3 linked regions of the Anolis sagrei genome follow. The protein of the gene in region 1 interacts with the protein of each later gene in a pairwise test. Links are inferred from orthologs where the notes say so. Each region holds a gene or a part of one and is shown on either strand. Other genes may lie near its edges.

Evidence for each region. The genes of interacting proteins can lie anywhere in the genome.
Region 2: the proteins of AP1G1 (region 1) and AP1B1 interact in a two-hybrid assay, tested with the Homo sapiens proteins (2 studies listed by BioGRID, with this or other methods). The link is inferred for Anolis sagrei from reciprocal best matches to the Homo sapiens genes AP1G1 and AP1B1.
Region 3: the proteins of AP1G1 (region 1) and ubiquitin-like protein 7 interact in binary tests that used the Homo sapiens proteins (3 or more experiments, as listed by UniProt). The two-hybrid records come from large-scale screens. The link is inferred for Anolis sagrei from reciprocal best matches to the Homo sapiens genes AP1G1 and UBL7.

What each region holds. Positions count from the first base shown.
Region 1 is NC_090028.1:29,557,665-29,565,153, reverse strand, and holds the start of AP1G1 (AP-1 complex subunit gamma-1), read right to left. Parts: upstream 3,051-7,489; 5' UTR 2,955-3,050; intron 1-2,954. UniProt on the Homo sapiens protein: Subunit of clathrin-associated adaptor protein complex 1 that plays a role in protein sorting in the late-Golgi/trans-Golgi network (TGN) and/or endosomes.
Region 2 is NC_090034.1:48,666,740-48,674,022, forward strand, and holds the start of AP1B1 (AP-1 complex subunit beta-1), read right to left. Parts: upstream 3,027-7,283; 5' UTR 2,920-3,026; intron 1-2,919. UniProt on the Homo sapiens protein: Subunit of clathrin-associated adaptor protein complex 1 that plays a role in protein sorting in the late-Golgi/trans-Golgi network (TGN) and/or endosomes.
Region 3 is NC_090023.1:274,625,906-274,633,227, reverse strand, and holds the start of ubiquitin-like protein 7, read right to left. Parts: upstream 3,027-7,322; 5' UTR 2,992-3,026; coding exon 2,928-2,991; intron 1,135-2,927; coding exon 889-1,134; intron 1-888.

The DNA of each region.
Region 1 (7,489 bases):
TATCAGCAATGGACAAACTTCGGCCCTCCAGGTGTTATGGATGTTTGTAACTCAGGGACTACCTGTATGTGTGTGTGTGTACAGACATGGGTAAACTTTGGCTCTCTGGGTGTTTTGGACTTCAACTCCCACAATTCCTGACAGTGGCTGTTAGGAATTGTGGGAGTTGAAGTCCAAAACACCTGGAGGGCCAAAGTTTACCCATGCCTGACACACACACATATACATGGGAGATAGATACAGTATCACAATTTTGGAAGGGACACCAAAGGCCATCCAGTCTGACAATGACTCTTCCGAGAGTGGATTTCCCTTCCTTCCGAGAGGAAGATTCCTCTCACTTCCTGTTGTCTCAGCCCCGTTTTTAACTAGGAGTCATTTGTAAGTCAGATGTTTTAAACTCAGGGACTACCTGTAGGTGCATGTGTGTGATACACACATATGACAGATAGAACTAGTATCATAAATTTGGAAGGGACCCCTAAAGGCCACCCAGTCTTTCCCCCTGACGATGAATCTTCCGAGAGTGGATTTCCCTTCCTTCCGAGAGGAAGATTCCTCTCACTTCCTGTTGTCTCAGCCAGGTTTTTTTAACTAGGAGTCATTAGTAAGCCAGATGTTTGTAACTCAGGGACTACCATATGACAGATAGAACTAGTATCATAAATTTGGAAGGGACCTCCAAAGACCACCCAGTCTTTCCCCCTGATGATGACTCTTCCAGGAGAGGATTTTCCTTCCTTCCGAGAGGAAGATTCCTCTCACTTCCTGTTGTCTCAGCCTCGTTTTTAACTAGGAGTCATTTGTAAGTCAGATGTTTTAAACTCAGGGACTACCTGTAGGTGCATGTGTGTGATTTATGATAGAACTAGTATCATAAATTTAGAAGGGATCCCCAAAGACCACCCAGTATTTCCCCCTGATGATGACTCTTCCGAGAGTGGATTTCCCTTTCTTCCAATGGAAAGATTGCTCTCACATCTTGTTGTCTCAGTCGCGTTTTTAACGAGGAGTCATTTGTAAGTCGGATGTTTGTAACTCAGGGACTACCATATGACAGATAGAACTAGTACCATAAATTTGGAAGGGACCCCCAAAGGCCACCCAGTCTTTCCCCCTGACTCTTCCAAGAGTAAATTTCCCTTCTTTCCGAGGGGAAGATTGCTCTTGTTGTCTCAGCCAGGCTTTTAACTAGGAGTTATTTGTAAGTCGGATGTTTGCAACTCAGGGATTACCATATGACAGATAGAACTAGTATCATAAATTTGGAAGGGGCCCCCAAAGGCCACCCAGTCTTTCCCCCTGACAATGACTCTTCCGAGAGTGGATTTCCCTTCCTTCCGAGGGGAAGATTCCTCTCACTTCCTGTTGTCTCAGCCCTGTTTTGAACTAGGAGTCATTTGTAAGTCAGATGTTTGTAACTCAGGGACTACCATATGACAGATAGAACTAGTATCATAAATTTGGAAGGGACCCCCAGAGACCACCCAGTCTTTCCCCCTGACAATAACTCTTCCGGGAGTGGATTTCCCTTCCTTCCGAGGGGAAGATTGCTCTCACTTCTTGTTGTCTCAGCCAGGTTTTTAACTAGCAGTCATTTGTAAGTCAGATGTTTGCAACTCAGGGACTACCATATGACAGATAGAACTAGTATCATAAATTTGGAAGGGACCCCCAAAGACCACCCAGTCTTTCCCCCTGATGATGACTCTTCCGAGAGTGGATTTCCCTTCCGATTCCTCTCACTTCCTGTTGTCTCAGCCAGGTTTTTAACCAGGAGTCATTTAAGTCAGATGTTTGTAACTCAGGGATTACCATATGACAGATAGAACTAGTATCATAAATTTGGAAGGGACCCCCAAAGACCACCCAGTCTTCCCCCTGATGATGACTCTTCCGGGAGTGTATTTCCCTTCCTTCCGAGGGGAAGATTCCTCTCACTTCTTGTTGTCTCAGCCAGGTTTTTAACTAGGAGTCATTTGTAAGTCGGATGTTTGCAACTCTAGGACTACCATATGACAGATAGAACTAGTATCATAAATTTGGAAGGGACTCCCAAAGTCTTTCCCCCTGATGATTACTCTTCCGAGAGTGGATTTCCCTTCCTTCCGATTCCTCTCACTTCCTGTTGTCTCATCCAGATTTTTAACCAGGAGTCATTTAAGTCAGATGTTTGTAACTCAGGGACTACCATATGACAGATAGAACTAGTATTCTAAATTTGGAAGGGACCCCCAAAGACCACCCAGTCTTTCCCCCTGACAATGACTCTTCCGGGAGTGGATTTCCCTTCCTTCCGATTCCTCTCACTTCCTGTTGTCTCGGCCAGGTTTTTAACTAGGAGTCATTCGTGAGTCGGATGTTTGCAACTCTGGGACTACCATATGACAGATAGAACTAGTATCATAAATTTGGAAGGAACCCCCAAAGGCCACCCAGTCTTTCCCCCTGATGATGACTCTTCCGGGAGTGGATTTCCCTTCCTTCTGAGGGGAAGATTCCTTTTACTTCCTGTTGTCTCAGCCAGGTTTTGAACTAGGAGTCATTTGCAACTCTGGGACTACTATATGACAGATAGAACTAATATAATGGAGTGGGTTCCTCCCACTTCCTGTTGTCTGAGCTTCGTTTGACCTAGGACACGTTTGTAAGTCAGGTGTTTGCAACCCGGGGACGGCTTGTATATAAAAAATGACCAGGATTGGCTTTGACAGCTTTCTGCCTTCAAGAGGAAGGCCTTCTCAGCCAGGAGGGCGCGAGGGAGGGAAGACAGTGGAGGGGAGAAGAGTTCCCTGCAGCAAGGGACCTGACGGTGAGGCCCAACTCCGACCCGGCCAGGCAGGGCCGGGCAGGGCCCAGTGTTCCCCTCCCTCCCTTCCTTCCTTCCTGGCGGGTCCTCCCCTTCCTGCCTCCTCCGGGCCCCGGCTCCCTCCCCGGCTCCCTCGCTCACTCACCGGGCCGGGTCCCGGCGGCAAAGGCGGCGGCGGCAGCGGCGGTAGAACCAGCAGCCTGGCATCCAAAATGGCGGCGGCGCGGCCTCAGCACCGCTCCCGCAGGCGGAAGGATACCGTGCCGGATCTCACTCAGGCTCTCTCTCTACCTCTCTCTGGCCCGTCTTTCCTTCTTTCCTTACTCGTTCCCCTTCCGGAGAAGCCCCGCCGCGGCCTCCCTTCCTCCCCTTCCCTGACTAATAAGCGAGGCGTCCTCTAGCAGCAGATTACCGAGGGACTATTTCCCTCCGCGGAGGCATCCGGGGTGAAGGGTGAGAGGCCGTGCGTGGCAGGCACTGATGACGTCACGCGCTTGCCGAGTCACCGCTGCGCCTCTCCCTCCTTCCCTCTCTCCCTCCGCCCGTCAGTTCCTCCGAGAACGGCTTTGTGTCCCAAGGAGAAGGGCTCGGGGCCTCTTCTCAGGTCAAGGGGCGGAGCTGGAGTTCTTTGGTTCCCTCCTCGGCTCCCTCCCTCCCTCGCCATCGCTCCTATTGGGGCGGGGACGGCTTCCTCCGCCGTCGCCTTGGCAACCACCGACGCGTCATCACTAAAGGCCTGGCTATGCTCTCTTTCTCTACCCCGCGCGCTCTTGCGACGTCACGCCCGCGGCACTTCCGGCGCGCCGAGGAGAGGCCGAGGGCGGGCCCAGGCCCAAGAGGAGGAGGAGGAGGAGGCGGCGGGATGGAGGAGCCTGGCCGCGGTGGGGCCGAGCCAAGCGGGGGAGAAGGAGACGGAGGAGGCGGCGGCTCCGGGGGCGGACAAGAAGAGGAGGAAGGCGGGTGAGAGAGGGAGAAGGAGAGGGGAGGTCTGGGAGGGGAAAAAACCCCAGAAAATTGAGGGATTTGTTTTCGTTTACTTCCAAATAATAATAACAACAACTTTACTCTAGTCCTGTTCCGCCCTCAAATCTGCACATACCCACTTTTCTGGAAATAGGAAAATGGGTTTATATATCTGTGGAATGGCTGGGGTGGGGCAAAGAGCTCTTCTCTGCTAGGGCTAGGTGTGAATGTTTCAGCTGACCACCTTCATTAGCATTTGAAGGCCTGGCTGAGCCTGGGAAAACCTTTTGTTGAGAGGTGCTAAGATGTGCCTGGTTGTTTCCTCTCTGCTGTTTTGCTGTTGTAATTTTAGAGTTTTTTTAATACTGGTAACCAGATTTTGTTCATTTTCATGGTCTCCCTTTCTGTTGAAATTGATCACATGCTTGTGGATTTCAATGGCTTCTCTGTGTAGTCTGACATGGTGATTGTTGGTGTGGTCCAGCATTTCTGTGTACTCAAATAATATGCTGTGTCCAGGCTGGTTCATCAGGTGCTCTGCTATGGCTGACTTCTCTGGTTGAAGTAGTCTGCAGTGCCTTTCATGTTCCTTGATTTGTGTTTGGGCGCTGTGTTTGGTGCGTTTGTCCTAATTCCAACAGACCTCACTACCTCTGAGGATGCTTGCCATAAATGCAGGCGAAACGTCTAGAACATGGCCCTATAGCCCGAAAAACCCCACAAGAACCTAATAACTTTACTCTAGTTCTCTTCCGCCCTCAAATCTGCACATACCCACTTTTCTCCGCTATTGATTGTTTGTTGTTTGGTTATTATAATAATACAGTCCAGTCTCTGGGTTGTTCTAGGTTTTTTGGCTGTATGGCCATGTTCCAGAAGCATTTTTATTAATTATTATTATTAAACTTTATTTGTACCCCGCTAGCATCTCCCGAAGGACTCGATGCGGCTTACAAAGGCCAAGGCCTCAACATAACAACAACAGACAATAACGATGCAAGCAAATTAAAACATAAGCAATAACACAACAAAACATTACACTATTATACAATAAAATCAGGGCCAGGCCAATGAAGGGTTCAGGTTAAAAAAGGTGCTGGATGTGAGAGGTGGTATGTTGGAGTTCTGGGCAAGTGCAATGTGCAGAGAGTATTAAACTCTAGTAAAGTGCTTCTGGGACAAGGTGCTGGAGGTTATCCTATTCTGGAAAGGCACATCGGAATAGCCAGGTCTTCAAGTTCTTCCTAAAGACTGCCAACGTGGGTGCAAGTCTAATGTCTTTGGGGAGGGTGTTCCAAAGTCGGGGGGCAACCACAGAGAAGGCCTTGTCCCTCGACCCCACCAAACGCGCCTGCGACGCAGGTGGGATCGCGAGCAGGGCCTCTCCGGATGAACGAAGTGAGCGTGTGGGTTTGTAAGCGGAGATGCGGTCACGCAGGTAGGCGGGTCTCCTGACGTTTCGCCTGCATCTATGACAGCCATCCTCAGAGGAGCCCCCGGTGGCGCAGTGGGTTAAACCACAGGTCGCAGGTTCGAATCCAGAGAGAACGTGGATGAGCTCTCTCTATCAGCTCCAGCTCCTCATGCGAGAAGCCTCCCACAAGGATGGTAAAAAAAATCAAAACATCCAGGTGTCCCCTGGGCAATGTCCTTGTAAATGGTCAATTCTCTCACACCAGAAGCAACTTGCAGTTTCTCAAGTCACTTCTTACATGATAAAAAAAAATCCTCAGAGGTTGAGGGGTCTGTTGGAAACTAGGAAAAGTGTGTTTCTAAATCTGTGACACAGATAAGGAACTCCCAGTGGCACAGTGGGTTAAAGCGCTGAGCTTGTTGACCGAAAGGTTGCAGGATCGAATCCGGGGATTCGACAGCTTCTGCTGTCAGCCCCAGCTTCTGCCAACCTAACAGTTTGAAAACATGCAAATGTGAGGTGATCAATAGGTACCACTACAGCAGGAAGGTAACGGTGCTCCTTGCAGTCATGCCAGCCACATGACCTTGGAGGTGTCTACAGACAACGCCAGCCTTTCGACTTAGAAATGGAGATGGCCACCAACCCCCAGAGTCGGACACGCCTGGACTTACTGTCAAGAGAAAACCTTTACCTTTACTATATCTGTGATATTGAAACCCCAACCTTTCCAACTGGAATAGAAATAAACTTTGGTGGCCTTTCTTCAACCTGGTGAGAATTATTTGGGGAAAGGGAAAATCTTACTGGCTTTAATAGCTCACCAGGCATTTTGCGAATCCTCAGGACCCCTTGAAAGGATAGCAGTCTCAGACTCAGCAGCCTTCCCAAGGGGGATTTTTCTGCCTTCCGCTGGTCCCTGCTTGCTGCAGGACTCCCAATTTCTGCTCAGTTGGAGCCCCCAGTGGTGCAGTGGGTGTTAATGTTTCAATTGGCTACCTTGATTAGCATTTAATGGCCTAGTGGTTTTCAAGGTCTGGCTTCTTACTGCCTGGGGGAATCCTTTGTTGAGAGGCAATTAGTGTCCCTGATTGTTTCTTTTTTATTTTTGTTCTTTATTTACTATCCTGATTTTTTAAATACTGGTAGCCAGATTTTGTTCATTTTTATGGTTCCTCCTTTCTGTTGAAATTGATCACATGCTTGTGGATTTCAGTGGCTTCTCTGTGTAACTTGACATGGTAGTTGTTAAAGTGCTCAGCATTTCTGTGTTCTCAAATAATATACTATGTCCAGGTTGATTCATTAGGTGCTCTGCTATAGCTGACTTCTCTGGTTGAAATAGTCTGCAGTGCCTTTCATGTTCCTTTCCACAGATATAATACCCCAATTTCCCTAGTTTCCAACAGACCTCACAACCTCTGAGGATACCTGCCATAGATGCAGGTGAAACGTCAGGAGAGAATGCTTCTAGATCATGGCCATACAGCCCAAAAAACCTACAACAACCCAGAGATTCCAGCCATGAAAGACTTCAACAATACAGTAGAGTCTCGCTTATTCGACATAAACAGGCCAGAAGAATGTTGGATAAACAAAAATGTTGCATAATAATGGAATCTCCTACTGTTAGCCATCCATTAGACATCTAGAATACTAACAACGGTGATTCAAAGGGTTAAGGCAAGGCAATGCCTCAGGGATAGAGCGGCTAAGCAGGAAGTGCCCGGATTCGGAAGAGGAGCATGAAATTTAGAGGACCTCCTCCTCCTCGTCTTACTTTTTTCACTTATTGGGAATGGAGAGAGTTGGTGAGCGCTCCTTCAATTGAAGGTTAAATGCTGGAGGAAAGGGGGGGGGCATTGGATAAGAGTGTCGAATGAGACGGAACATCGGATAAGCGAGACTGTTGTAATAATAATAATAAATTTATTTTTGTACCCGCCTCCATCACCCCAAAGGGACTTTACGTATGGCACAATGTACCTAAAACATTACATAAAATAAGTAAACAATACAATACAGAATAAAACCAAAAACATATAAATAAAGCAATAATTTATACTCAAAACCAGCACCCAATAACCTATGGTGAGATCTGTCATGAAACCTGGCCAAGCAAACACAATAACAAGGTCATGAATTGTGCAAATCGTAGCTACTGAGTAAAGTGCAGTGCTGTGTCATTGATTGTGGACCATTGGGGCTAGTTGTCCAAACAGCCAAGTCTTCAATTCCTCCTGGAAGGAGGACAGTGTGGTACCTGCCTAATCTCCCTGGGAGGGTACTCCAGAGCTGGGAAG
Region 2 (7,283 bases), on another chromosome or scaffold:
GCATCCTTCTGAACAATAATCATCATCATCATCATAAATATAATATAGGAATGGATCCAAAGCCATAATAATAATAATAATAATAATAATAATAACAATAACAATATAGAAACTGATCCTTCTAAGCCAAAATAATAACAATAACAATAATAACAGTGCCTATATCTCTAGAGTGAGACAATGCACAACAAAATCCAGTTCTCTGCCCCAAAGAGTTTACAAAAGAAATGCAACGTAAGCAGAAGAGAAGGGAAGTGGTGGGTTCATGCCTATTTCCTCCCTTCTGTTTATCTGTGTTTGAACAAATGGTTCACACAAAAAACAGCCTTCTTTGTCCATTCCTGTTCTCTGTGTCCCTTCCTCCTGATAAAAGACCGAAAGGGGACTCTGAATGAATGATTAATGGGGAAAGTTGGCCTGATCCCCAGTCACGAACAGGAGACACAGGGCAACATGGATGGGCCTTATAGAAAATATTAGCAGTATTCTTTAATCCCGAGGTACAGTGGATCGAGAAGGCTGAAGAGAAGGAGAAGAAATATTATTATTAATATTCTATTAATAATATTTTATTACAATATTAATTTTAGTCCATGGGAAATAATAATAATAATAATAATAATAATAATAATAACAATAATAATAATATCCAGCGTCCTTTTCCTTTTTCCTGCTGTTTTCATGTTTCTTTAATTCGGTTTAACCAAATTTCCCATGGAACAGTCCAATTGTGCTTAGAAGAAGTCCCATTCTGCACAATCCCTTATTAATTAATGAATTAAATAATAATAATGATAATGGTATTCATAGAATATCATATAATAATATCATATCAAAAATATAATAATAAATAAGATAAAATAATAAAAATAATATAATGTACAATGATGATAATAATAATAATAATAATAATAATACATTTTTATTTATGTCCTGCTTTTCTCCCACAAAGGGATCCAAAGCTTCCTACATATTACAGTACAAAACAATGGCAATTAAAACAAATATATAAACATATAAAACAATCAATAAACATTCATATGCATTTTAAATAATATATACATTAATGTGGAGTCTTGTCAGATCATATTGCAGATCACTATATAAATCGTAATGATAATATATCATATATACTGTAATACTATAATAATCATAATATTGGTAGTCACAGAGCCATATTATATAATAATATATAATATCGATAATCATCATAAATAAATAAATAATATATTTTCTAATATAATAATATATTATAAGAAAATAAAATACAATAATGCAATGCACTATAAATTGTAATAATGGCCTATCATAATAATATAGAATAAGAATAATACACCATAATAACATACAATATCGTAATTTTTAAAATGTACTGTGCCAATCCTTGAGGTTTGTGTTAAAACAGATGAAAACACATTATTATCATTAATATTATTATGATTATTATTTATACCCTACTTTTCTCTCCAAATATTACTATATTATTATATTTGTTTAATGGTTCACCCTCTAGTTCACCTTGAAACTAGATTCTTTTTCTTATTTTCCCATATCTGAAAGTAATATTGTTATATTTGCTTAATGTTTTCCCTTCCAATAACAACAACAATAATAATCTTGTGCTTTGAGCCTCTTCAATGGAGAGAAAAAGCAGGGTATAAAAATAATAGTAATAAAAATGAAAAAATGGCAATAATAATTTCTGAATATAACAATAATCTGAATAACAGTAATATGAATTAAAAATTGGAAAGTAAGAACAATAATATAATTTCAAGGTAAACTGTAGGCTAAAACAACAATAATACTCTCATTGATTTCAAGGTAAACTAGAGGCTAAAACAATAAATATAATAATAATCATCATCATAGAATAAGAACCTCATTTATTTCAAGACAACTGGAGACTAAAGCATTAAACATAACAATAATAATATAACAATAATAATAATCTCACTTATTTCAAGGCAAACTGGAGGCTAAAATAGCAATAATAATAATAATAATAATCTCACTAATTTCAAGGCAAACTGGAGGCTAAAGCATTCAATATAATAATAATAATAACAATAATGTCATTTATTTCAAGACAAACCAAAGGCTAAAACTATTATTATTATTATCTAATTTATTTTAAGGCAAACTGGAGGCTAAAACATTAAACATAATAATAATAATAATAATAATAATAATAATAATAATGTCATTTATTTCAAGACAAACCAAAGGCTAAAACTATTATTATTATCTAATTTATTTTAAGGCAAACTTGAGGCTAAAGCATTAAACATAGTAATAATAATAATGTCATTTATTTCAAGACAAATCAAAGGCTAAAACTATTATTATTACCTCATTTATTTTACGGCAAACTGGAGGCTAAAGCATTAAACATAATAATAATAATAATAATAATAATAATAATGTCATTTATTTCAAGACAAAACCAAAGGTTAAAACTATTATTATTATCTCATTTATTTTAAGGAAAACTGGAGGCTAAAGCATTAAACATAATAATAATAATAATAATAATAATAATAATGTCATTTATTTCAAGACAAACCAAAGGCTAAAACTATTATTATTATCTCATTTATTTTAAGGGAAACTAGAGGCTAAAGCATTAAAAATAACAATAATAATAATAATGTCATTTATTTCAAGACAAATCAAAGGCTAAAACTATTATTATTACCTCATTTATTTTACGGCAAACTGGAGGCTAAAGCATTAAACATAATAATAATAATAATAATAATAATAATAATATCGCATTTATTTCAAGGCAAAACGGAGGCGAAAGGATTAACATCATCACAATAATATAACAATCTCATTTATTTTAATCTCACTCAGACAATAATAAATATGCCCATGGATTACAGTTTGACATTCCCATTAAAGGGCGCTTCTTACCGCCTTCAGCTTCGGCTTCTCCTTCCGCGTCTCTGCAGCTCAGGCCGAAGCGTCCTCTCTCAGCTGCAGCCCGGGCGGAAATGAAGCGAGCATGCGCACACGGACCCGTGCGACGCGAGCATGCGCACACGGATGATAAGCGTGGCGAGCGTGCGCAGAGGGGGGAAAGACCTTAGGGGAGAACGCCACGCATGCGTAAAGGGGCCGGGACAGGGCTGCGGAAGAACGTGAGCGAGCCCCCGCTGAGCAGTTGCCTGGGGCGACCGTTGCCCCTGGCAACAGCATTGGGCCTACTCCTTCAAAAGGCCCTTCACTTGGTTTATTTACGGACAATATTTAATTTTAAGAAAACAGTGATAGGGGAGATATGCCCAATTAAATGCACAATTGCAGAAGTTAGCCAGAAGAGATAAGGAACTATTTTTTAAACAAGCAATGCATGGAAGTGGAAGAAGACAACAGAATAGGAAGGACAAGAGACCTCTTCCAGAAAATTAGAAACATTGGAGGTAAATTTCAGGCAAAAATGGGCATGATAAGAAACAAAGATGGCAGGGACCTAACAGAAGCTGAAGAGATCAAGAGAAGGTGGCGGGACTATACAGAAGATCTGTATAGGAAGGGTAATAATATCGAGGATAGTTTTGACAGTGTGGTTGAAATCGAGCAGGAATTTAGAAGGGTCTGGCCCTGAAGGAGAAACCCTGCGGACCCACCAAGAAGGGCTCGCTACAGTGGTGAGCAAGAGAAGCCGCAATTTAAAACATTTTCCCCTAAGTTCCCAAAAAGAATCTCAACAAAGTTGAAGGAGGCGCCACCGAGATGATTTTATTGCGATCCAGCTGGAAAGGATGCAAATCAGCAATATTTCACCAAGCTAAGCATAACATGTACACAAATAAAAGCCTTTTTTATACAGTAACAGAGTTGCCAAGTTTGAATTTCCCACTCTCCGCCCGGCTTGATGGTGATTGGCTGGCGCCTCTACAGCTGGGAGGAGGCTCAGCCGCCTACCGAGCGCCTGGGCCAATCACTGAGCTTCTGCCGCCTCGGCGCCTCGATGAATCAGGAGAGAGGGAGGCGGGACAAGGGGAAACAATGCATTCTTGGGTGGATTATGAAGATTAGGAAATGTCCAAGTGACCAGCGAGTCCTAAGGGCCTGCAAGCCAGTCTGGCTATTGTCACTGAGTGGTTGCAATAAACATTAATGTTTGGTGATCCTGCCATAATCTGGATTTTCCCAGGGCTGAGACATAGGAACAATGGGGGAACTTTGGTGGAAGTTTCAGTGAGAGAAAAGTTGAATGGATGACAGATTAGGACGGTGTGCGGCTTTCCGAAGGCCTCCTCCGTCCTAATGAGATATGATCAAAATTGCCAATGGACCATTTCCTCTGGGGGACTAACTCTGAGCCCAGAGGTCATGACCCTCTTCTATTGTCCATGCAATTGAGTCTTCTGATAAGGGTCTTTTCAACTGGTGATTTTCCTTCCATCCTGGATCACAGAGGGGTGGCTGCCTTGCATTTTTATACATTTTTCAATAAAGGGGAATTGGGCAAAAGGGTCAGGAAAAGGTCAGATACATTGGGGAAAATATAGAAATATAGAAATCATAATTTTATTTATTTATTTATTTAGAACTTTTATATACCAGTCTTCTCACCTCCAACGAGGGACTCAGGCTGGTTTACAACAAGGGGGTTCATACACAATAGTTTAAAAACATCACATCAATAATACACTAATATAAACACATTAAAGTACTATCATATAATTATATAAAGCCAAGTCGTTACAGAAAATACACCCACCTATCCCTCCCCCCTGCATCCCATTGGGAAATTGATAAGAGCCTTGATCATGGCTCAATATATGTCCATAGTCCATTATAGGAAAATCCATAGATGAAAGTATGTCCTTAAAGGGAGAAAAGTCTTGATGTGGGGCAAAAAAGGTTCAAGAATCATAAGGAGAGGCTTGGTGATTCCACTGAGCCAAGATATGGAGCTCTGCCTCGTTGAGGCTGAAGCTCGTCCTTGGAGAACTATAACTCCTTCCAAGGGCTGGAGCCAGGTGACAGACCCACTCCCCGATGGCCTCATGGGGCGACCGCATCAAGTCCCCGGGTCCTGGGGCTCCAGAAGGACGAAGAAACAGCAATGGCGGGAGCAATGCAGCAGCAAGAAAGCTTGGATTGACAATCAGCTGTTTTTCTTTTAAAATATATTCTCAAAAATAAAAAAAGGTTATTCCCCGAGAGCAGGGGCCCGAGATGCAAAAAGCGAGATAGCAGATAGTGTTAGAATTCAGCTAGGAAAAATATGGCACCAAAATGGAGTTGTTTTGTCAACTCGCGGATACAGGGTCCCGAGGGGTTTCCGTATCTGCGGTTTGAAGAAACGCAGATTCAGCCTCCCCGGGACGCCTAGGAGGCATCCTGGGCAGGCCAGCGGCTGCCCGCAGCCTGGAAAAGGGTAAATTCATGCATTGCATACTGGTGAGCCAAGAAAAGGACACAATGTATCACTATGAAGAGGTGAAGGTTACAATTCAGTTAGTCTTTATTAGGGGTTTCGTTACAATGTTAGGGCGGGGGAGAGAAGCAAAAGGAGAGAGCTCAAGGTTGCAGAGTCCTTGGTTGAGGCTGCTGCTGAGGCACATTTCATCAGTGCTGGCCCAACGGGGCATCCAGGAACTGTGGAACTCCCTGCAGCTGGTCAGATCAGCTCACTCATGGTGAGTGAATTAGAACCATACATCCTGAGGAGTGACGTTGAATGGGCCTTAAGAAGCATTGCTAACAACAATGTTTTAATTGCACTGACACTGTTTGATAATTGTACCATGTAAACCGCATTGAGTCGCCTGTTAAGGGCTGAAAAATGCGGTATAGAAATAAAGCAAATAAATAAATAAATAAACAAGACAGCAGGAGATGACAGGATCCCATCTAAACTGATTAAAATCTTGAAAGATGATGCTGTCAAGGTGATGCATGCCATATGCCAGCAAATATGGAAAACACAAGAATGGCCATCAGACTGAAAAAATCAACTTATATCCTCATATCAAAAAAGGGAAATGCTAAAGACTGCTCAAACTTTCATACAGTGGCCCTTATTTCTCATGCCAGTAAGATAATGCTCAAGATCCTGCAAGGAAGACTCCAGCAAGACATGGAGCGAGAGTTGCCAGTTGTACAAGCTGGGCTTAGAAAAGGCAGAGGAACGAGAGACCAAATTGCCAATATCCGTTGGATAATGGAGAAAGGGAGGGAATTTCAGAAAAACATCTATTTCTGTTTTATTGACTATTCTAAAGGCTTTGACTGTGTGGATCATAATAAATTGTGGCAAGTTCTTGGTGGTCTGGGCATACCAAGTCACCTTGTCTCTCTCCTGAGGAATCTGTATAAGGACCAAGTAGCAACAGTAAGAACTGACCATGGAACAACTGACTGGTTCAAGATTGGGAAAGGCGTACGGCAGGGTTGTATACTCTCACCCAACCTATTCAACTTGTATGCAGAACACACCATGCGATGTGCGCTGCTTGATGAATGCAAGGCTGGGGTAAAAATTGCTGGAAGAAACATTAACAACCTTAGATATGCAGATGATACCACTTTGATGGTCGAAAGCGAGGAGGAGCTGAGGAGCCTTCTAATCAAGGTGAAAGCGCAAAAGCTGGGTTGCAGTTAAACATAAAAAAAAAGATTATGGCAACAAGAATGATTGATAACTGGGAAATATGGGGAGAAAGCATGGAGGCAGTGTATGTATATGTATATTGCCACTGCAACGCAACCTCACATCATTATATTGTCACCATTTTTATTTTGTTATTACTTTTGATTTTATTCTTATTAAAGAATAAATATTATATGCTTTATTTTATATTTATTTCATTCTTATTTTTCATTCTATATAAATAATACATATAATATTATTCTTTAGATAGAGCTTATGTCTCCTGCAATAAGCTATTTTTATTTCCTTTTATTTTATATTTTATTTTATTCTTATTTTTCATTCTATATACATAATAATTATAATTTTAAAAATATTGTTTTTATTCTATACTAGCTGTCCCCTATCACACATTGCTGTGGCCCAGTCTGTGTATACGTGTTTTGTGTGTCTATATATGTGTGTAGGGTAAAGGTAAAGGTTTTCCTCTGACATTAAGTCCAGCCGTGTCCAGCTCTGGAACTCTGGTGCTCATCTCCATTTCTAAGCCGAAGAGCCAGAGTTGTCCATCAACACCTCCAAGGTCATGTGGTCAGCATGACTGCATGGAGCAGTATCTATTGATCTACTCACATTTGCGTGTTTTCGAACTGCTGGGTTGGCAAAAGCT
Region 3 (7,322 bases), on another chromosome or scaffold:
TTTGATCCAGATCCTTCTTTGTTTGATTCCACAGTGCTCTCTGGATGTGGATGAACTACAACTCCCAAACTCAAGGTCAATGCCCACCAAAGCTTTCCAATGTTTTCTGTTGGTCATGGGAGTTCCGTGTACCAACTTTGGTTCAATTCCATCGTTGGTGGAGTTGAGAATGCTCTTTGATTGTAGGTGAACTATAAATCCCAGCAACTCCCAAATGACAAAATCAATCCCCCTCCCCCCCCCCCCCCCCAAATCCCACTAGTATTGAAATTTGGGCGTATCGGCTATTTGTGCCAAATTTGCTCCAGTGAATGAAAAAACGTCCTGCATGTCAGAGATTTACATTATGATTCAGAACTGTAGCAAAACTGAGGAAGACCATGGCATGAGCAATAATAATATTATTAATAGTAATAATAATAATAATAATAATAATAATAATAATAATAGTAATAATAATAATAATAATAACCTTTATTTATACCCACCATCTCCCCAACAACAGGGACTCGGAGCAGCTTACAAGAGGCCAAGCCCAAAAATCAAATTGCAATACCAACTCATGTACTGATTAATAAACTACGTGACAGAATTTTTTTAATGGCAGCCACAAAGATTTTGGAAGATAACGACTACTTTCAAAGTACGTACCACACAATTAAGCAGGAAATAATACTTTCAAACCAGGAACAGATTTTTTTCCCCCAAATTTTGTGACATAGTGTAAGATTAATTGTCTGACATTGATCAACAGCAGCCTCGTTATGTTATTGCATAATGTTTGCATCTTTAAAGATGTTTTTGCTAACCACACCAAGTCCCAGTTATGTGGGGCCAGCCTGCGTAAAACATACTTCAATGGGGCATCAAGTGAGCCTAGCCGCTTACCGATGAGCTCTGGGTCAGGAACAGACTCTTGTAGTTTCCCGGTGATGAGCTGCTTGAGGTAGGAGATGCTGCAGCCGCCCAGGGGACACTCCCCCAGCTCCGTCTCCGGCAACCTCAGGATGGATTTGGGAGCCAAGGGCTGGTCGGCCAGCTTGACCGCAATGTAGCACTCGGAGAGGGACATGGCCTCGGCCTCCTCGGGGGGGCTCGGCTGCGCAAATCTCCAGTCTGGGCTCCAAGCGGAACCTGGAAAGAGAACACCACGGGCGTCAGAGTCACGCAAGCAGCCACACCATTGATCTCAAGCAGGCATGGGAAGACTTCGGCCCTCCCTCCAGGTGTTTTGGACTTCAACTCCCACAATTCCTAACAGCCAGTAGGCTGTATTGTCGAAGGCTTTCATGGCCGGAATCACTGGGTTGCTGTAGTTATTTCGGGCTGTCTAGAGGCATTCTCTCCTGACGTTTCGCCTGCATCTATGGCAAGCATCCTCAGAGGTAGTGAGGTCTGTTGGAAATAGGAAAAGGGGTTTATATATCTGTGGAATGGCTGGGGTGGGGCAAAGAGCTCTTCTCTGCTAAAGCTAGGTGTGAATGCTGGACCACTCCAACAACCACCATGTCAGACTATTCAGTAAAGCCATTGAAATCCACAAGAAGCATGTGGACAATTTCAACAGAAAGGAAGAAACCATGAAAATGAACAAAATCTGGCTACCAGTATTAAACAACTCTAAAATTGCAACAGCAAAACAGCAGAGAGGAAACAACCAGGCACATCTTAACACCTCTCAGCAAGAGAATTTCCCAGGCTCAGCCAGGCCTTCAAATGCTAATGAACAACTTCCCGTACCTCGGGAAGTCTGACTTGGCCACGGTAGTCCACGCTCTGGTTACATCCCGTTTAGACTACTGCAACGCTCTCTACGTGGGGTTGCCCTTGAAGACGGGCCGGAAGCTTCAATTGGTCCAACGTGCGGCAGCCATGATACTAACAGGAGCAGGACGCAGGGAGCATACAATGCCCTTGTTGTACCAGCTCCACTGGCTGCCGATTTGCTACCGGGCTCAATTCAAGGTGCTGGCGTTGGCCTATAAAGCCCTAAACAGTTCCAGCCCAAGATTCCTATCTGACCGCATCTCGGCCTACGAGCCCACCAGGACTTTGAGATCTTCCGGGGAGGCCCTGCTCGCGATCCCGCCTGCAACACAGGCACGCCTGGAGGGGACGAGAGACAGGGCCTTCTCGGTGGTGGCTCCTCGGCTGTGGAACGCCCTTCCCGTGGACATCAGACTGGCTCCTTCCCTGATGGTATTCCGCAGGAAATTGAAGACTTGGCTGTTCAGGAGGGCGTTTGAACAAGAAGTGCAATGATTGGTAATGACGACAGGAATGGAACAACGGAAAATGAGACTGGATTGTGGTTTAGATGATGAGACGATGCGAATGGCTTTTTGTATTTTGATATTGTTGTGTTTTTGTTGATGATGTTTTTGATTATTGCTAGACTGATATTTTTGATTGTGTTGAATTTTGAACCTTGTCCTTCTATGTTGTACACCGCTGTGAGTCGCTCTCGGGCTGAGAACAGCGGTATATAAGCAAAGTAAAGTAAAGTAAAGTAAATAAATAAGGTAGTCAGCTGAAACATTCACCCCTAGCTTCAGCAGAGAAGAGTCCTTTGCCCCACCCTGGTCATCATTCCACAGATATACAAACCCATTGTCCTATCTCCAGCAGACAAGAGTCCTTTGCCCCACCCTGGTCATCATTCCAAAGATATATAAACCCAATTTTCCTACTTCCAACAGACCCTTTCAAGAAGAGTTTGCTCCAGGCACAGTCAGCCCATTGTATGCTAATCAAGGTGGTCAGCTGAAACATTCACACCTGGCTCCAGCAGACAAGAGTCCTTTCTCCCACCCTGGTCTTTCCACAGATATATAAACCCAATTTTTCTAGTTCCAGCAGACCTTGCTACCTCTGAGGATGCTTGCCGAGCCGCGCCTGCCCCCCTTTCCTCCCTTTCCTCCCCTTACCTGGTTGTTTACCACCGAGGCCCTGGTCCAGCCGGAAGCGCTTCCCTGAGCCCGCGCGAGGCATGCCGGGCGCCGTAGTTCTGAAGCGGAGGAAGGGGCGCGCGCATCGCGGCTAGGCAGCTGGCGTCACTTCCCCTCGCCCCGAGCGGGGCATGCTGGGAGTTGCAGTTCTTTCCCCAGCCCCGCGCAGGCGCGAAGGACTCCTATTCTGACGTCAGAGCGCTCCCTGCGCCTCCGCCAATCAAGGAAGGGCTGGGGAAAGGAGGCGGCCAATGGGCGCGCGCGGCGAAGGCCCGGGGCTGGTTTGAATGGGAAGCGCCCCCTCTTGGAAGGAAGGCGCTTTGAACTCCCTCCCGAAATGAATACAAAAAATCAGGCACATCTAATCACCTCTCAACAAAAGATTCCCCCAGGCACTGCCAGGCCATCCACTGCTAACGGAGGTGGTCAGTTGAAACATTCCCACCTAGCTTCAGCAGAGAAGAGTCCTTTGTCTCACCCTGGTCATTATTCCAAAGATATATAAATCCATTTTCCTACTTCCAACAGACCTCACAACCTCTGAGGTTGCTTGCCATACAGAATTAATTCTGTGATAATTATTTTATTATATATATTATATATTATATAAAGTATATAATATAATATAATATAATTATAATATAATTTTAATGAGGTCACGAAGAGTCGGAGACGACTGAACGAATGAACAGCAACAGCAACATAATTTTAATATAATTATATTATATAATATATATTATATAATATATATATATAATATATATATAATATGTGTGTTATATATTTGATATAAGTGTATATTTTATATATTTATCCAAAACTCGTATTTATTTACTGGGTTGTTGTAGGTTTTTTCGGGCCATCTGGCCATTCTCTCCTGACATTTCGCCTGCATGTATGGCAAGCATCCTCAGAGGTTGTGACGTCTGTTGGAAGTAGGAAAAATTGGGTTTATATATCTTTGGAATAATGACCAGAGTGGGACAAAGGACTCTTGTCTGCTGGAGCTAGGTGGGAATGTTTCAACTGACCACCTCGGTTAGCAGTGGATGGCCTGGCTGAGCCTGGGGGAATCTTTTGTTGAGAGGTGTTAAGATGTGCCTGATTGTTTCCTCTCTGTTGTTTTGCTGTTTTAATTTTAGAGTTTTTTAGTACTGGTAGCCAGATTGTGTTCATTTTCATGGTTTCCTCCTTTCTGTTGAAATTCCCCAAATGCTTCCTGTGGATTTCAATGGCTTCTCTGTGTAGTCTGACCTGGTGGTTGTTGCAGCATGTCTGAGTTCTCAAATAATATGCTGTGTCCAGGCTGGTTCCTCAGGTGCTCTGCTATGCTCTGCTATGGCTGACTTCTCTGGCTGAAATAGTCCACAGTGCCTTTCATGTTCCTTGATTCGTGTTTGGGCAACGCTGCATTTGGTGGTCCAAACGTTTGGTATGATGTTATTGTTTACTGTTTGCGTTTTTGGTTGCGTCTTGGTTTTCTTCATTGTAATTGTTGTTCGGGCCTGGCCTCATGTAAGCTGCTCCGAGTCCCCATCGGGGAGGTGGTGGCGGGGTATAAATAAAGTTTATTATTATTATTATTATTATTATTATTATTTGGGAGTTGTGGTTGCTGGGATTTATAGTTCAACTACAATCAAAGAGCATTCTCAACTCCATCAGTGATAGAATGGAAGCAAACCTGGCACACAGAACTCCCATGAACAACAGAAAACACTAGAAGGGGTTGGTAGGCATGGATCTTGACTTTGGGAGTTGTAGTTCACCTACATCCAGAGAGCACAGTGGACTCAAGCCATGACGGATCTGGACCAAATTTGGCAGAGATGATGAGGAGATATTGGAAATATATATTTATTGGTTTATGCATAAAAATCATATGTACTTTATAAGCACTGAAATGCATAGAATATTCAGGCTCTCTCTCCTGTGTAAGGAAACCAAGCTGTGTCCAGGCACAGCAATGCTATCTAAACATTCCAGGAGAGAGAGATAAGCCCTAATGGGAGCCATGGACTGGTACTAAGAAGCACCTCTGACAGGTCCAAGTGGCCTCTTGATGGATGACTGTAAGCACAGCCAAGAGGGAGGAGGGACACTCCATGCTTGCTTTGGTTTCAGCAAGACACAGAGACATGCTTTTTGCATGTTGGAGGTTGGAACCTGATATTCTTATGATGCCAGGATGACGTAGGGATGATGATGATTGTATGAAGACGTATGTTCTTTGTTTCATTCCGATTGGAGACTATAAAAGGCCAGTCCGCACCTTGATCGGGGGCTCTGGGTTTTGCTTTTGGGACACGAGTCCCACCAGAGTCGCCAGCTGGAAATAAAGCCGTACCTTTTCTGATCTCCAGAAAGGATGTCTCTTGGTAAATATCTCTCCTTTCCTCAAAACCTGTTTCCCTGCCATTTCACAGATACTCCATATGCCCAAATGTGAACACTGGTGGAGTTTGGGGAAAATAGATCTTGGTATTCGGGAGTTGTAGTTGCTGGGATTTATAGTTCACCTACAATCACAGAGCATTGTGAACCCCACTAAGGATAGAATTGGGCCAAACTTGGCACACAGAACCCCCATGGCCGCCAGAAAACACTGCACTTTCTGATGGTCTTTGGTGATCCCTCGGACACCCCCCTCGCGACCCTCAGGTTGAGAAGCGCTGCTCTAAGTGGCCCATGGTCAACGCCCCAAGGATGACCAGCAGAAAGACACGCTAGGGTTCATTATGGGGCAGTGGCCTAACAAGGCCCTCATCCTTTCTCTGTGGCTTTTCTGGGTGCATCATTCCAGGCGAGGGCCAACCTGGGCTGCCCGGGTGTGTTGGACTCCAACTCCCACCATTCTGGACACCCTTCCTTGTCCTTTTTGGGTTTCTTTATTGATTAGCCCTGATTGAAGATAGAGAGGGAGGAGATAGAGATACAGACAGAATAATAATAATAATAATAATAATAATAATAACAACAACAACCATAATAATTATAAAACTTTATTTGTCCCCCGCTACCATCTCCCCAAGGGACTCGGTGCGGCTTACATGAGGCCGAGCCCACAATACATCAATAAACAATAACAACAATAATACAAAACAATAAAATAAAACTCATAAACAAAAAACAAACAGTAAGCATTAACAATAGCACAACAGAAGATAGAGATATACAGAGATTAGGTTCTTGTAGGTTTTTTCGGGCTATAGGGCCATGTTCTGGAGGCATTCTCTCCTGACGTTTCGCCTGCATCTATGGCAAGCATCCTCAGAGGCAGTGAGGTCTGTTGGAACTAGGAAAAAGGGTTTATATATTTGTGGAATGATGACCAGGGTGAGACAAAGGACTCTTGCCTGCTGGAGCTAGGTGGGAATGTTTCAGCTGACCACCTTCATTAGCATTTGAAGGCCTGGATGACCCTGGGAAAATGTTCTGTTGAGAGGTGTTAAGATGTGCCCGGTTGCTCCCTCCTCCTGTTCCTCATTATATTATTATTCTATTATTCTATTCTCTCATCATTCCATTCTGATTGCGGAGTCGAGGGAGGGCAGAAGACCCGCCTCCCGTCTTCGGGCGCCATCTTGGGGCCGGGCAGGAGCCCCGCCTGCTTCCTTTGGGCGCCATCTTGGAGCCGGGCAGAGGCCCCGCCTCCTTCCTTCGGGCGCCATCTTGGGGCCGGGCAGGTGCCCGCTTGCTAGGGATCCGCCCGGCGCGCTTCCTTCCTTCCTTCCTTCCTTCCTTCCTTCCTTCCTTCCTTCCTTCCTTCCTTCCTTCCTTCCGGAGAGACAGAGAGTTCCCGGAGGAGGAGGAGGAGGAAGCAGGTAGAGTGTCCCCGCCGGAGGGAATCCCATCAATCTACATCTCGAGTATGGTACTGATCTATATGTTTGTAATAATTATAGATAATATGAGATAAAGGAGAGGAGGGAGGAAGAGGGGAAGGGTCAGGAAATAGGCACACACACACACCTCCCTCTCTCTCCCTCTTGGATGTTTCAGTTGGATTCTTTATTTCCTTTTATTATTATTTCACTCCCATTAGAATCATAGAATCATAGAATCCTAGAGTTGGAAGAGACCTCCTGGGCCATCATCCAGTCCAACCCCATTCTGCCAAGAAGCAGGAATATTGCATTCAAAGCACCCCTGACAGATGGCCATCCAGCCTCTGCTTAAAAGCTTCCAAAGAAGGAGCCTCCACCACACTCCCTCCGGGGCAGAGAGTTCCACTGCTGAACGGATCTCCTTACAGTCAGGAAGTTCTTCCTCATGTTCAGATGGAATCTCCTCTCTTGGAGTTTGAAGCCATTGCTCCATTGCGTCCTAATCTCCAAGGAAGCAGAAAACAAGCTTGCTCCCTCCTCCTCCCTG